Drosophila melanogaster: one gene and its partners. The protein of the gene in region 2 interacts with the protein of the main gene of each other region in a pairwise test. Each region holds a gene or a part of one and is shown on either strand. Other genes may lie near its edges.

What was found.
Region 1: the proteins of Su(var)3-9 (region 2) and His1:CG31617 interact in binary tests that used the Drosophila melanogaster proteins (3 or more experiments, as listed by UniProt).
Region 3: the proteins of Su(var)3-9 (region 2) and Su(var)205 interact in binary tests that used the Drosophila melanogaster proteins (3 or more experiments, as listed by UniProt).

What each region holds. Positions count from the first base shown.
Region 1 is NT_033779.5:21,420,209-21,423,377, forward strand, and holds His1:CG31617 (histone H1), read left to right. Parts: upstream 1-1,646; 5' UTR 1,647-1,805; coding exon 1,806-2,576; 3' UTR 2,577-2,669; downstream 2,670-3,169. Other genes in the region: His3:CG33803 (histone H3), read left to right, coding at 1-388; His2B:CG17949 (histone H2B), read right to left, coding at 2,983-3,169. UniProt on the Drosophila melanogaster protein: Histones H1 are necessary for the condensation of nucleosome chains into higher-order structures.
Region 2 is NT_033777.3:15,257,327-15,266,933, forward strand, and holds Su(var)3-9 (suppressor of variegation 3-9), read right to left. Parts: upstream 6,133-9,607; 5' UTR 6,022-6,132; coding exon 5,956-6,021; intron 5,612-5,955; exon of another isoform or gene 5,513-5,611; coding exon of another isoform or gene 5,471-5,512; intron 5,396-5,470; coding exon 5,221-5,395; intron 4,572-5,220; coding exon 2,905-4,571; 3' UTR 2,538-2,904; downstream 1-2,537. Other genes in the region: eIF2gamma (eukaryotic translation initiation factor 2 subunit gamma), read right to left, coding at 1,041-1,116, 1,184-2,057, 2,124-2,360, 5,221-5,395, 5,956-6,021; Set, read left to right, coding at 6,361-6,618, 7,027-7,216, 7,279-7,629, 7,693-7,703; ATPsynO (ATP synthase, oligomycin sensitivity conferring protein), read left to right, coding at 8,335-8,364, 8,601-9,044, 9,107-9,262; CG14864 (uncharacterized protein), read right to left, coding at 9,403-9,607. UniProt on the Drosophila melanogaster protein: Histone methyltransferase that specifically trimethylates 'Lys-9' of histone H3 using monomethylated H3 'Lys-9' as substrate.
Region 3 is NT_033779.5:8,209,126-8,212,813, forward strand, and holds Su(var)205 (suppressor of variegation 205), read right to left. Parts: upstream 1,998-3,688; 5' UTR 1,719-1,997; coding exon 1,605-1,718; intron 1,542-1,604; coding exon 1,425-1,541; intron 1,349-1,424; coding exon 1,228-1,348; intron 979-1,227; coding exon 710-978; 3' UTR 501-709; downstream 1-500. Other genes in the region: CG8419 (uncharacterized protein), read left to right, coding at 1-146; Ssb-c31a (single stranded-binding protein c31A), read left to right, coding at 2,321-2,377, 2,434-2,709; CG8372 (uncharacterized protein), read right to left, coding at 2,994-3,584. UniProt on the Drosophila melanogaster protein: Structural component of heterochromatin, involved in gene repression and the modification of position-effect-variegation. Recognizes and binds histone H3 tails methylated at 'Lys-9', leading to epigenetic repression.

The DNA of each region.
Region 1 (3,169 bases), on a different chromosome or scaffold from region 2:
TCGCAAATCGACTGGTGGAAAGGCGCCACGCAAACAACTGGCTACTAAGGCCGCTCGCAAGAGTGCTCCAGCCACCGGAGGTGTGAAGAAGCCCCACCGCTATCGCCCTGGAACCGTGGCCTTGCGTGAAATTCGTCGCTACCAAAAGAGCACCGAGCTTCTAATCCGCAAGCTGCCTTTCCAGCGTCTGGTGCGTGAAATCGCTCAGGACTTTAAGACGGACTTGCGATTCCAGAGCTCGGCGGTTATGGCTCTGCAGGAAGCTAGCGAAGCCTACCTGGTTGGTCTCTTCGAAGATACCAACTTGTGTGCCATTCATGCCAAGCGTGTCACCATAATGCCCAAAGACATCCAGTTAGCGCGACGCATTCGCGGCGAGCGTGCTTAAGCTGACACGGCATTAACTTGCAGATAAAGCGCTAGCGTACTCTATAATCGGTCCTTTTCAGGACCACAAACCAGATTCAATGAGATAAAATTTTCTGTTGCCGACTATTTATAACTTTAAAAAAAAAATAAGAACAAAATTCATATTCTATTATTTATGGCGCAAACGGTACTGGGTCTTAAATCATATGTAAAAATACTAATTCTGCCAGAGAAGGAATAAAAATAATCTTATTTTAATTGTAAGCTCGACATTTATTAAATTAAAGAAGAGGTTAATAAATATAAAATATATATAAAAATATATATTTTTATTTGTTCTTTGTGCGAACATCCTTTAAAGCAGTGAAAGTGTCGTGCGGGGAAAGGGACTCTGAACCTTAAACATCTAAAAAAAAATCTGAATTCTGTGTAAGACAGTTTGAAATTAATGAAATTACATTGATGACGGCAATATTTATAAAATAACAGAAAATAATAAAATAAAACTAGCTATTTTATATTTTTTCCATGTGTTAACTGAAGAATGTGTTATTATTGAAGAGGTCGTACGGGACAATTGACACTGTCCCTTCAAACGTCTGTAAAAAATAAAACCTATGTAAAATTCAGCACGGAAATTGGCTAATTTTGTTGCGGAATGTAATATATATTACATAATAAAGGATAATACAAAAATTGTTTCTTTTTATTTTTTATTTGATTTATTTATTTGACTACATAGACGGTAATGCATATGTGGCGAGGAAATCGATTGATTTCAGAACAAATTATTTTAAAATATGCATGAAAACACATTAATAACAAGCAAACACATTAATAATTTAAGAAAATATTATTTATTATATTAATATTATGTTATTTAAGAAAGTATCTGTATTTTTAACGATCGAAAATTATTTCTGAATGCTGCTTTAAAGCAAATTTTTCTGTAGTTCAATGTGAACTTAAATCAAGTAATAAAGTATCTTAATTAATAATAGACGCTTCTTTCAGAAGCCCTTCTAGGGGATGAACGTTTCAATTTTAATAAACATTACGAATTAGTGAAATATTTGCAATGATTCTTATTTTATTAGATGTTTTTTTATAAATTGGTCCAGTTAAAAATTTGAATATAAAAATTCAATCAACATTTGAAAGTCTCAAAACCCATATTACATCCTTTTAAAAATGGAAAGTGACGAAAAAATTATTTAAAAGTGTAGAACTATTAAAACCTTATTTTTATTAATGATTTAAAATACTAAAAAATTAAAAAAAGTTTACACTTCAAGCAAACTTCGACATAGTAAATGACTGATGTCAGTAGCATTGTTAAAGTGCTCTCCTCCTCGATTCTCATCAGAGCAAAGGAGGTTGGTAGGCAGCGCGCGAGCCATTTTTAACAGAAAAAAAGTGTTCTCAGTGAAAAAAAGATGTCTGATTCTGCAGTTGCAACGTCCGCTTCCCCAGTGGCTGCCCCACCAGCGACAGTTGAGAAGAAAGTGGTCCAAAAAAAGGCATCTGGATCTGCTGGCACAAAGGCAAAGAAAGCCTCTGCGACGCCGTCACATCCGCCAACTCAGCAAATGGTGGACGCTTCCATTAAAAATTTAAAGGAACGTGGCGGTTCATCACTTCTGGCAATCAAAAAATATATCACTGCCACTTATAAATGCGACGCCCAAAAGTTAGCGCCATTCATCAAGAAGTACTTAAAATCGGCCGTGGTCAATGGAAAGCTTATCCAAACTAAGGGAAAGGGTGCATCTGGATCTTTCAAACTGTCGGCCTCTGCCAAGAAGGAAAAGGATCCGAAGGCAAAGTCGAAGGTTTTGTCTGCTGAGAAAAAAGTTCAAAGCAAGAAGGTAGCCTCTAAGAAGATTGGTGTCTCCTCTAAAAAAACTGCCGTTGGGGCTGCTGACAAAAAGCCCAAAGCTAAGAAGGCTGTGGCTACCAAAAAGACTGCCGAAAATAAGAAAACTGAGAAGGCAAAAGCCAAGGATGCCAAGAAAACTGGAATCATAAAGTCGAAGCCCGCCGCAACAAAGGCGAAAGTGACTGCAGCGAAGCCAAAGGCTGTAGTAGCGAAAGCGTCAAAGGCAAAGCCAGCGGTGTCTGCAAAACCCAAAAAGACGGTGAAGAAAGCATCGGTTTCTGCTACCGCCAAGAAGCCGAAAGCGAAGACTACGGCTGCCAAAAAGTAAATTGTGAAAAAGTGCAGTATTTGGTACATGTTCGCAATTAAAATTTTAGATTTATGATTTATAGATCTGAAATTTGTTTAAACAAGTCCTTTTCAGGGCTACAACGTTCCGTTGCAAGAGAAAAAAACTTTTATTTTCTTCCACTTATTTATTAGCTGACGTTCGCAGCAACAATAAAACGTTTCATGTCATGAATTACATTGCATGTTGGTCGCATTCAGTTTTCGTTCCCGATTTTTTTGTATTTATTTGAACATTACCCAATTACCCATATTGCGGGTAAATAAGTTTTATTTGTAAATTCATATTCGATGATTGGTAGTTGAAAAATGCATTTCTTTGGTATAACACATTGTGGCCTTGAAAAGGGCCGTTTTGGATTATTGTCCGCATTCGCAGGAGAAAATTATTTAGAGCTGGTGTACTTGGTGACAGCCTTGGTTCCCTCACTGACAGCATGCTTGGCCAACTCTCCAGGCAAAAGCAGGCGAACAGCCGTTTGGATCTCCCGACTGGTGATGGTCGAGCGCTTGTTGTAGTGAGCTAGACGAGACGCTTCGGCAGCAATTCGCTCGAAAATATCATTTACAAAG
Region 2 (9,607 bases):
ATATATGTACTTATTAGTGAGAGTCATTTATCAAAATTTAGTTTCAACCGTAAAACCAAAACAAACAAATATGTACATCACGGCTAAGTACGAATTTTTATTCAATAAGCTATATTTACTAATAAACAAAGTCTCAAGAAACCAAATATTAAACTAAAAAGTACTTGGTAATAGTAGTTTAAAATTACAAAAGGATAAAAATACATTAAAATTAAATTAGTGTGCTATAGTTAAAACAAATTTACCAAATCGAAAAAGAAAACGTTTCAAAAATTATTCAACACAATCGATGTCGAAGTCGAATCGCTGCTGACGGACATTGTGTTTCAAAAACGATATTGAGATTTGTATGAATAATTGCTTAAACAACAGAATATTACGAGTATCAATGTGTTATTGAAAAAACATCGTATTGTAACTATTTAAATTTAATTGAACTAAAAGTGGAAAAATAAATTGGTCTATAATGAAAAATAAACAAGAAGTTGACTTTGCTTTTTTTCTCCATTTATTTAGCGTTTTATATAGCCTACTTATCTGCGTTCTTCCCAAAATTTGCAGAATTTATAAACGACTCCACTCCAAAAGTCCCAAAATAACAAGTCAGTTCTTGCGGTTTTAATTGTAAAAAATGCAATACAATTTGTTTTTTTTTTTCGTTTAGTTTTTGTTTTGTATTTAAATCATAAAAACAATTTTACGATGTATCAGATTTGCCTTTAGTTATTATAATATATAAAGGTATACCCTATTAGTTGCTTTTTTAATGCCTGATTCTGCTATAGATGCACAATACTCGCAAGCGAATCGTGTGTTTTCATATTATATACATACTCGACAACAAAATTCAATAAAATAAATTAAGTTAGGTATGTATTTCATGTTGGTACTAATTAGTTTCGGTTTGATCAACGGACACGGGAAGAATGGAGCTGTGGGACAAGAAGGAGCAGTGTGAAGAGGCCTAATAAAGATGATGCTGCCACTTTTGCCGCTGATGTTGTTCTTAAAAGTAGAACCATTCGGATCCTAACTAAATTCTACTTCTTTGCCACCTGGCTGTCCAGAACGGGTGTGATTGTCTTGCCTCCGAAGATCTGACCCCAGCCAATCAAACTGAGGAGAAAAAATACATCATTAAGTTGTGATTTCAAATACAATTTAAGGGGGGCTGTATACTCACCGCCAATGGTTCTCCACACGTCTGCTGAGTGCAATCTTCTCGCCCTTCTCCGTGCACACAGGCGTCGTAAGAACGATCTTGGCCAAATCACCTTTGGTGGCCGAGATGCGGCCACCAGTGCTGAGGGATCCGATATTAACCAACAGGATTTCGTTCTTCTGCAGCTTCTCAACGCGCGCTCCCTTCTTGTCACCATCGGTACGGACGCCGAGAAGGCGACGCAGCAGGTAATACGAGATTTCCAGCTCCTGGTAGATGTCCGGCAGCTGGCCAACGGCGCCTAGCACCTGACCGACCAAACGATCGGCACGGCACAGCGTAGGATCGATCTTGGTGCCCACACCAATCAGACCGCCGGGCACGGCGTACTGCAGCTCATTCTGTTCGGCGAAGAGCGAGACGATACGGGAGAAGATTGGACGGCAGGTGATGTTGCCATCGCTATCCTTGGTCACAACGCCCGGACGCACCTCGATCTCTTGGCCTACCTTCAGCACGCCGCTCAGAATGGAGCCACCGGCCACACCGCCCTTAAGGTCTGCCACCTCACAGCCTGGCTTGTTCACGTCGAAGGATCGGATGACGATCAGACGGGGCGGGGCATTGAAGTCACGCGGCGGCACTGGTATCTTGTTCACAATGTACTCGCAGAGCACATCGATGTTGTACTTAAGCTGGGCCGAGATCGGAATGATCGGAGCGCCCTCAGCTACGGTGCCCTGGACGAATTTGGTGATCTCCTCGTACTGCTCTTTCGCCTGGCTCTCCTTGATCAGATCGATCTTGTTTTGCAAGATCAGAATCTGTTTCAGCTTCATAATCTCAATGGCGGCCAAATGCTCAGAGGTTTGCGGTTGTGGACAGGATTCATTGCCTGCACATGGAATAGGTAGTAATTTGTATATCTTTTGTCGGTTCAGAGAGATCCAGGGTTACTCACCAGCAATGAGCAGCAGAGCAGCGTCCATCACAGCAGCACCGTTCAACATGGTAGCCATAAGAATGTCGTGACCGGGGCAATCCACGAAGCTCACATGTCGCACCAGTCTGAAGTTGCCGGAGCAGTTGAGCCGAGTGCAGGGCAAGCTGTCGTCCTTGCTGGATGCATCCGATACGAAGCTGGCCGGGCGCGGGCACTTGGGGTTGTCACACTTGTAGATTTTGGCGTTGGCATAACCTAAAAGCAATGCGATAATAATTATGAAGAATATTACAATACATTCTTCGAACTCCTGGCCTGGCAAACACGTAAAATAATCCTTCGTTCTTCACAAGGAATTAAGTGCTATTGCTAACTAAATTCATTTCTTTGATCCTTCCAGATCATTTATACAGCCACAAACAAACATCACTTAATAATCGTAAAATATTTATTGTAAAATAATAATTTGCACTTAATGCGGTAATAATTTCAGCACATTACAAGGTTGTTTGTCAAAACACTAAGTTATTACTAAATTAAAATTTAAGTTTATGAAATGTATACAAGTACAAACTATATAGAATTACTCGTTTTATCCTCTAGTAATATAGATCCTCAAACATAATATAGATCCAATATATCGATATTAGCATTTATTAACAAATAAATAATTAAAACGTCGGAATATAAAATCCAACTAGTAATATATATATATGTTAACAAAAAAAAAAAAGGTTCAATGCAATGATGTCTCAGGTGGGTAACGGCGTGCCATTTAAATATAGTACTTCAAGTCCATTCAAAAGAGGACCTTTCTGCAATTATCAGCTCCGCAGCGGCACTCGACACGCACAGCTGTCGAGAGGTTCTCGTAGGGCACATCTTCGTTGTCCGCGCGAATGTAGTCGAAGCTCAACTCCTCGCCCGCCTTGATTGGACGCAGTGTGAAGAACACGAGGTGCGGCAGCGCGACATTCAGGTGCTCGATCCAACAGGGGAACACGGCGAGATTAGGATCGCAAGAGTGATTGATAAAGTGCGAGATGTTGCCATAGTTAGCTGCATCGATAGTGTACTCGCTATCCTGAGCTGTGTTGTAATCCAAGTCGAACAGATATGTCCTCCCATTGTCGTCATACGCCTTGCCGCGCTCATTTGCCTCATCGCTGGTGATGATCTCTCCAATGTACTCGCACACAAATTCACCCTTACGCAAGGCAGTTGCGGCTCGCACCCCCCATCCGCTGCCGTTGGCGGTCTTAAACAGCACCAACGGTACCTGGCGTCCGTGCTGCACCAGACGGTTGGAGCAGCTTGAATCGCACGAGCAGCGGCTATTGCACTCATAGATGGCACTTCCGGGACGAAGGCGCAAGCGCCGTGTGCTTCGCTCGTAGGCGAACAGCTCGCCGGCGAAGCGGGCACAACACTTCGTAGAGGCAGTACACTCCTCTGTGTCTTCAGTGCACTTACAGCCCACAATCCCCGCTTCCGGCTTGGGCACATCCTTGCCGATTATGTTATCATGTATGTACATGAAATTGCTGTCTATGGTGTCCAGATCAATGTTGTTCTCAACACGTATTGGCGGTGACGGTTTCTCCACATGATTCATGCGCTTCTCGAACAATGCTAGATCAGCCAACTGCTTGCGTCGTACAAATTGGGCCCGCTTGATTTGCATGCTTTTCAGGGCTCGTTCTCCAATTTTCTGCGGTTCCCTTTGGCTTCGACTGCCAGCAGCGCGATATTGGGCGAGCAGTATAAGATCGATCTGCAGATTGAGTGGCTCATAGGCGTCTACTTCGGCCACCGTAATGTTCTCCATTAGTGGCAATGCCTCCAGCTGCTTCTCAAGCTCAGTGGTTATCTTGGCTATGTATATCTCGTAGAGCTGCTGATGCCGCTCCACAAACTTCTCCATTTCGGCGCAGTCGGCCACGTTGGCAAGACTTTCCCAGGTGTTCTCGCTATCATGGTATCCCAGCCATTTGACGAAGAAGACTGGCTGATATTGATCCATCTCGACGCATTCAATACGCTCCACAACGTACTCTCCTTTGGGCGGCCTTTTGGCAATTACTCCCATGTTATTTTTCGACCGCTTGGAGTTGGGAGTTGGGGCGCCCACACAACTGCTGCGTCGACGCTTCAGTTTGGCGAATCCGTTGAGACTGGGTATTTTGTCCACATCATGTTCCTCGCAGCCAAAAACGCTGCCATAGCCGCTACTATTGCTTGGACTCAGTGAGGTCTGACTGGTGCTTCGCCGGGTGGTGCGTCTATCTACACTGGAGGTGGATGCTGGCATGGAAGACGAAGCTGGCTTGGTGCAGAGGCGGCGGAATCGGCTATGTCGCCGCAATTCGGCCAGGTGGCGCAGCATTGAACGCTGTTTGATTTCATACTGCTGTCGCTGCTGCTTGGAGGTCAAAAGATTTTTGATTTTTTTTTCGCTCAAGCGTTCTGCAAATGACAAGTTTTGGACAATTGTGGATTGGATGATGGGTTTGGTGTGTTTTTTTTTTTATTTGGCGGACGCGTCGCAACCGAAAAAATCGTAAAAACAAGAGAAATAGGGAAAAAGAAGAAAAAGATTGGCAATTAATTAAATTGCTGGATCAGTCGTATCAATCAATGTAACAGATTCAAGACTAAGCTAACAGGAAGATATGCTTAATACCAATCTTTGGGAACGCTTTTTAATTCAGCTTTGTAAAGTACAACATTCTAAAGACAACTTCTTTTATCATTTTAGACTACTTAGGCGACGACACAAGGCAACGCGTGCTAATCCAGCAATTTAAGTTAACAAAATACACAAGAATTCGAATTACAAGAGACAATCATTCGCAGAACCCTTTTACAACATTATCTCGATGTAAAGCAGCGACAGAGTTGGCTACGCGGTGTGCCGTCGCGATACGGTGTTAAAAAGTGGTTCTTAAGATAATTATGGGTTATTTTCGGCCAGCCGAGAAGGTTTACAATCTTAGGGCACTACGGGGTTTACGGGCGAGCAGGAAGAATTAACATACGGCTAAATTATTATCAAGTAGAATAATACATCTTAAGATTATATGCTTAGGCTAGCTTACACGGATCCCTGACTCACCCAGCTTGATTGTGATGTTGCGCTCCAGTTCGTTCTTGAAGCGCACAGTCTGCACGCCGGATATGGCTTTGACCACCGTGGATTTGCCGTGAGCCACATGACCGATGGTGCCGATGTTGATGGTCGCCTGTCGGGAGATGACCTCCGGTGATAGAGGCGTTAGTTTAGAGACGTCCTGCAAGATTCCAAATGCAATACGATAAATAAAGGCGCTTTAATAGAGGAAAATCAGAGCACAAGTCTTGTTTACCGCCGCCACACCCCCTAACAAAACATCCCCTCTCAGATGCATGTGTGTATATAGGAAAGCCGTCAATTTTGAGGTTAGAATGTCGCTTGAATTGCATCAACTCAAAATTGATGACAACAGTCAGGTAGTCCTCGCGAAACTGATCTGCTTGCCAGAGCCCAAATACCGCCAGAGTCCGCATCATGCCCATATGCAGAGCCAAAGTTGCGGGATAAACCAAACAGACCCTAAATGTAGCGCCACGTGCTGCATTTTCACCGTGATCTCTCACCCACAACAAATCACTGCTGGCCCTGGCGAAACCCACTGGTATATCCCTCGAAATTGGTCCGCGAACCGTTCGAGACAATCTGGGCGCGTCCTTGCGACCCGCACCCCGCTGTTTTTCCGGGAAGCGGCTCCATAATGACGACGCGTATACTTTCACACACGGGCGGAAAAAAAGGGAAGGCGGCGTCTGGCGGTCGTCTTTGCTGGCTGCTTACCAAGTTGCTGAGGTCCTGCTTCTGCAAGTTCCTGTTCACACCGATCTGGGCTTCAGCCGTGGCCATGTTGCTGATGTTTTCAAAAACGATGCGTATGCAAAATGAAAATAATAATTTTCAGCTATTACAGCTCGGCATCAAATCTCGATATCGAAGAACGATTGGACCCGACAATGCCTATCGATAGTGCTCTAATCATGGTTGGCCAGTGTTGGACACGTCACACCGGTGCCCAACTGCGATGCGTATCGATAGAGTGCCGCCCTATCGATACACTTACAGTTCTTCAGCCGCAAACGAAAGGTTAAAAATCCGCTTCGCTTCTCTTCTGCTCAACTGTACCGCCGCTTTTTGTTCAAATATCTCGGGAATTACGAGCGTACACACAACGGAAGAGCGTGCAGAATGTCGAGCGTGCCAAAGCGAGCCAAGCTGGACGGCGCCCCCGCCGATGGCAACACATCCGCCGCCGCCGGTAACAACGAGGAGGAGTCGGAGGCGTTGGAGCAAATTGATGCCTGCCAGAACGAGATCGATGCGCTGAACGAGAAGGCCAGCGAGGAGATCCTCAAGGTGGAGCAGAAGTACAACAAGCTGCGGAAGCCCTGCTACGAGAAGCGCAGCGAGCTGGTCAAGCGCATCCCCAACTTTTGGGTGACCTCGGTGAGTACTTCGATCCGCGGCCATGTTTGTCCCCTCCGCGTGTTCGTCTGATGGGTTCTAGTGGAGCCGACTAGATCTTTCGAAGCCCTGAAGTGATGGTAATCGCTGCACACATGTACAAGAAATTTTCTCTATTCGAGGCATTTTTTCTTGTTCATCTTTGGGCTGCAATGCCGACACCACCGGCTCCCCGCGCATTTTCCCCCTCCCGGAAAAATCGTGCTATCGATATATCCGTCTGGCCGGGAAATACACAACATAGCACAGTTCAAAATGGCTTCAAATCAAAAACCACTGAAATATTTGCTGCCATAATTGAAAAGAAAAGTAGTGCCATAGGGGCCATAAACATGGCTTTCTGCTTGATAGCATGCATCCCCTAGCTAATCCCAACTGCCATATTTGCAGTTTATCAACCACCCGCAAGTATCCGGCATTCTGGACGAGGAGGAGGAGGAGTGCCTGCACGCGCTCAACAAACTTGAGGTTGAGGAGTTTGAGGACATCAAATCGGGTTACCGCATCAACTTCCATTTCGACGAGAATCCTTACTTCGAAAACAAGGTGCTCACCAAAGAGTTCCACCTGAATTCAGCGGGTAAGTTCTCCCAACGATTGATTCAAATCCGCTTAGCTAACCCATTACTATTTCAATTAAAGCTGCTTCCGAGAACGGAGACTGGCCCGCGTCTACCAGCACGCCCATCAAATGGAAGGAGGGAAAGAACCTGCTAAAACTTTTGCTGACAAAGCCGTACGGAAACAAGAAGAAGCGCAACTCCGAATACAAAACCTTCTTCGATTGGTTCTCGGATAACACCGATCCCGTCAACGACGAGATCGCAGAACTGATAAAAGACGACCTTTGGCCAAATCCACTGCAGTATTATCTGGTACCTGATATCGAGGTGGAGCCCGAGGACGAGGAGGACAACGAAGATAATGATGAGGAGGCATTTGACGACGAGGACGGTGAGGATGGAGAAGGCGAGGAAGAGGAAGAGGATGAGGGTAAGCTAATGGAGTGCCTTTTGAACAGAAGGAATTTACTAACCACCTAACCAACCATTTTAGATGACAAGTAAACTGATTAATGCAATTTCAAATCGCTCGCAACCGAAGGCCCACATTGTTTATAACCACTGGCAACTATAGTTTTCCCGATGGTTATGCAACATTTACATATTCGCAACGATTTAAGGACATATTTAGGTTTCGAAATAAGCAAAAGTCATACATCCATTAAAGAGCAGCAGAAAATGAGAATCACCATTAAATTAATTTAAAACAAATAAAAAGACGTAAATCGAATCTCAAGCCGTGTCTTTTTATGTAAGTAAAGAATTACCAAAGTATTCAATTCGATGTTTATAAAATAATTTATTACTTTATTAATTAATATTTATTAATTAATTAATTATTTAATAGCAAATTAGAGGTGTTACTATTAAGGTAGATTTTGGGTACCCAGAAATACCTATCTTTTAATATATCCTTTAAGAATTACTTTAAAGTCAGAATATCATTTTTAAAATGAAAATTCGCTTTTATTTAACTAGCTAGTATAAATCTTAAAATCTAGCTATTTTTTGTAATCGATAACTGTCCTGCAACCCTTACGCCATTCAAAACAACCCTGCCACACGTCGAGTAGCAAGTAACGTAGCCCTGGTCACAGCTGAGATTTTTAGCTGAAAAATTGTCGGGATAAAAACGATGGCCTCTATTAACAAATTGGCACTTTTGGTATGTTATAATGCGAATAAATAGAAAAAAGTGAACAAGCTCCGGTCAATGCCAAGCCATTTTAAGTGCATGTCAAATTTTTATTGCGTTTGCAACCCGCTGTCGCATATGTAGAATTATCTAACGCGCGTTTCTTGGTTATGTAATTTTTGCCCATCTTAACCCACGAACCGCGGGTAGTTTATGTTTAATAAGCCGAAAAACTTACCAAGTGCTCTTGTTTGCTTATCCCGCAGAGCCGCACCCTCAGCTCCGCTGCCGCCCAGGCGACGGTGAAGCCACCAGTGCAGGTGTTCGGTCTGGAGGGTCGCTATGCTACCGCCCTGTATTCGGCTGCCTCCAAGTTGAGCCAGTTGGATCAGGTGGAGAAGGATCTGACGGCCCTGCAGGCCACCATCCGTAGCGACAAGAAGCTGCGCGAGTACGTGACCAGCCCCATCATCAACAAGAAGGTCATGGCCACCGCTCTGAAGGAGGCATCCGAGAAGCTCCGCTTCGCCCCGGCCACCGTCAATCTGTTGGGTCTGCTGGCTGACAACGGACGTCTAAAGAAGCTGGACACCGTGATCAATGCCTACAAGACCATCATGGCCGCACATCGCGGTGAGGTCGTCTGCGAGGTGGTCACCGCCAAGCCCTTGGATGCGTCCCAGAGCAAGCAGCTGGAGGGTGCCCTTAAGGTAGCTACGCCTAGCTTCTGTCTTGTCTCACCCACTCAATTTATTGCTCATTTGCTTTGCAGTCTTTCCTGAAGGGCAACGAGTCTCTGAAGATCACTTCCCGCGTGGACCCCAGCATCATTGGTGGCCTGATCGTTTCCATTGGCGACAAGTACGTCGACATGAGCATTGCCACTAAGGTCAAGCTCTACACCGATGTCATCCAGACCGCTGCCTAGACTCTTAAGGATTTGCTCTTGATTTAGATGGTCAAACTGAAAGTTTGGTATTGGAATTCAAGCGGTAATAGCGAATAAAACACTCTTCACCCTTTGAAAACCAACAAAATTTATTCAGAGATATGCGCACTAGATTTGGTTTATGATTTAGATATATTTTTAGGATCCGGTATATCTGTGCACTGCAGCTCCGCAACCTTGTGCTGGATTGTCTGCTGCAGAAGGCTGTGCTGCTCCAGCAGATTCTCCAGCTCCTTGATGCGAGATCTCTGCAGTTCCAGAACCTTGGTGAAGTTACTCGTGGCCGGGGACTCAAGCCAGTTGATTAGAAAACTATTATGTTGC
Region 3 (3,688 bases), on a different chromosome or scaffold from region 2:
TGTGCTCGTGTGAGGGTCATATGCCTGGATATAGTGGCTGCGGTCATGGACATGCTGGACATCCAGGGAGACGTCATTGGTCCTGCTGTGGAAATGTCCTTGAGAACTCGGAATGCAATGTGGCCAACAAACTGCTTAATTCTTAAGTAATTGATTAGGATGCAGGGCTATAAAACGAATAAATTAACATATAGCCAGGTTTCGCCATTTTGTTTGTTCATCTTGTGAAATTTCAAAGATCTTGTAGTTTATACGCACGCGCAGATAGACAACAAGGATACTTCAAAATAAACGTTTTTCTACCTGCAAAATACATGCATTCCAACAGACCCGACAGTCCATTTACAATGTGCACACAATAATCTCAGATTGCTAAGGCTACAAAATCCCTTTCGACCTCTGGAATTACCAATTGAATTCTCCTTATTACCATATGGTCAGCATATGCGCGTCATATCCTGACCGTTGAGCAACAAGTCGCAAATAAAAGTTACTTATATAGGCTCCAGCAGAATAAAGGTTTTTTTTATTTATTGAAAATGGTTATCATAAATACAGACACTGACTCTGGACATTTATGGAAAAAAGTCCGATGCCTTAAGAGTTGGTTGGGTGGTTTTGAAAGCGCCTGCAAGGAGCTATAATTCTAAGTGGGTAATTTTTCGTTAAATGTATAATCGTTCTTTTTCGCTTTCGATGATCCAACTGTTTAATCTTCATTATCAGAGTACCAGGATAGGCGCTCTTCGTAGAAGTGGATTACCATTCGTGGGATTTTTTCATTGGCCACTGAGGAGGGCACCATTTCTGCTTGGTCCACGCCTTTGAACTGAATGAGGAATGTCAGGCGGCCATTATTGTCGGAGGCACCCAAGATCTTTTCGGCCTCCAGGCCGCGATCGAATCCGGTAGATCCTGAAACGGGAATGGTGTCCTGCTCCGCATCTGTGGTACGTTTTGATTTATTGCCAGAGGGCGCTAAATAAATAAAATAAAAACAAGTAATTAATACAGTGCAATTTTTTAATAGATGCATTTTTTTATTGCAAAGACCATCTTTTTCTTGCGCATGCCATTCTTGCGAAGGACAAAATTTGAGATACATATGTGAATACAGTTTTGACGAAAAGGGCAAATAAATGCCAGTGGATATTGTAGGTGATGACTATTGTTATACCAATTTGTGTACAGAAAATATTTGTAGGTACACTCAATTCCATAGCTTACCTGTTGGTTCTTCGGACTTTCGCTTGCTTGCTGTGGACGTCGAACTGCTGGCGCGTCCTTGAGTTTCCTTGGCCTTGGCGCTGCTGCTGGGTCGATCCTTCTTGGAGGCGGCTGACTTCTCCTACGGACCGAAACGAGATGTAAAGGAAATCCTAGCAAGCACAACTGTACTTGGCATCGCATTGTACTTCACTTACCTCATCCTTGCGGCTCGCCTCGTACTGCTGGATAAGATCCTGGCAGTCGAGATTGTTCTCCGGCTCCCACGTGTTCTCAGTTTCGGGATAGCCCTTCCATTTCAGATAGTACTCCACCTGCAGGTGGAAAATGGCGTTTTAGGACCAAATATAATGGGACGTCTGGTTCGGAAAACTCACCTTTCCCTTGCGCACCCGCCTGTCGATGATCTTTTCCACGGCGTACTCCTCCTCCTCCTCTTCGGCATCGGAAACCTTTGCCGAGCTCTCAGGGTTGTCGATTTTCTTGCCCATTTTGTTTTTATTAAAATACTTCACACGACAAAAAATAAGGAAAGAATTAGCACAACCGCACACAACCGCACACACACGCAAAGTACGAAAGGAAAGTACGATTTTTAGTCGACTCTCTTTGCTTTCATGGCTCACCTAGATTAAATAAGATCTACACTTTATGCACGCAGCTAAATTGGTTTTTATAAGCCTGTGTGTTGGCGCTAGAAGACTTTCCACAAAATGAAAAATCTGCAAAAAAATGCGCGTTCTAAAATGACGCCGGCCGAACAGTGTGCGAAAGTACGCGTGGACTGCTAAGACTACGCTTATCTATTTTCCGATAGATTTGCACATCGTATTAATTTCATTTTAAGTCTAGAAAAATGTTAACACTAAGAACTATCTAAATTTTACAACATAACTATAATAATAACGTAACTAACTGATCGCCAATATCTGTTTTTAAAAATTTTGTAATAAATCGATGAATCGATTAAGGAATCCGTTGTACCACAACTATTATCGACGCGTTTCACAGCACTGAATAAGTTGCGCGAATATTCACGAATTTTTTGACAATTTGCGTTTTGTTTCTTCTGTTTTACGGAAATTCTATAAAAATGCCCAAAACAAAGAAGAAGGATTCGTCCTCAGATAGCGATAGCGGTCCAGATGATGTAAGTTAACTAGAAATACACCAAAACTAGGTATAACAAGTTAAAACCTCTTTCAGCGTATCAAGCCGGCAAGCAAGAAGGCGAAGGAATCTGATGCTCCAAATTCAGATCCAAAAGATTCGGGCGAAAATGGTGCTACATCTTGGACCCTGGAAGGACTTCGCCAGGTGCGAATCAACGAGTTCCGCGGTCGCAAATCGGTGGACATTCGAGAGTTCTACGATAAGGGCGGCCAAATTCTTCCCGGCAAGAAGGGCATCTCCCTATCTTTAATTCAATGGAAGAAACTCCTTGAAGTGGCCGAAGAAGTCACCCGCGCGATCGAGAATTAATTGAAGTTCATCCACATGCCAAACTAAGTCGTAGCCATATGTACTAACTATAGACATATCCACTGAATAAACGTTATCTTAAACACTAGTAATTGAAAATCTGTATTTTCACAGTTGCTGAAGCATTAATGAATGACCAACTTAATTGCCTGATAGGTATTTTCCTTATCTGCTTTGTGGTGGGACTACAAAAAGCACACATATACATAAATGAATGAATCCTTTATTGGACGTCATATGTACATAGATTTGTACATTGATAGCATTTGATATAGATATGAATATTAAAAATAGATGCCCAGAATGGTGAAGATGGACAGGAGAATGGCAAACGGCAGCCAGGTCTTAATAAAACCCCCTATTCCGACGTAGCGGCCGCAGACAAAGAGCCACATGCTGAGGATAATCATGTTCCATGCGGTGCTGTCGTAGTAGCGCATGTAGATGAGTGCCGTTGCCACATGCGAGTGGCAGTTGTCACAGAAGATATTGTGGATGCGGGTGCCGTAGAGCACAGATGCTTTGGAGACCGCCTCGTCCCAGGCGTAACTGCCGCCCACCATGTGCTTGGGGTGCAACCTTATGTACCGGGTGGGTCTTCCAAAGGCCATGTTGTCCTCTGATACGAAGTAGGGGCCGGCGAAGTCACGAATCACACCGGACGAAGTGCAAATGCCCATATGTCCGATCATGGGCATCAGCCAGGTGAGAACCGGAATGGGAGTCCAAACGATGCAGTAGGGGAAGCGTTGGTCCTTTACGTTGATCGGAGGCAGTCTATCCGGAACGCCATTGCCGGCTCCTCCTCCGGAACTGGCCATCGAGATCTGAACGTCCTCGGACTGTTGCCGCTGCGGACTTGGGTTTGTCGACATTATTACACTGTATTAGGTTGATATTTGTGCGGGGAAGCCACAAGAACAGTCACTCACGGTCTTCCCGGCCGTAATGCCCATGAAACGAGTCGCTAACAATTCCA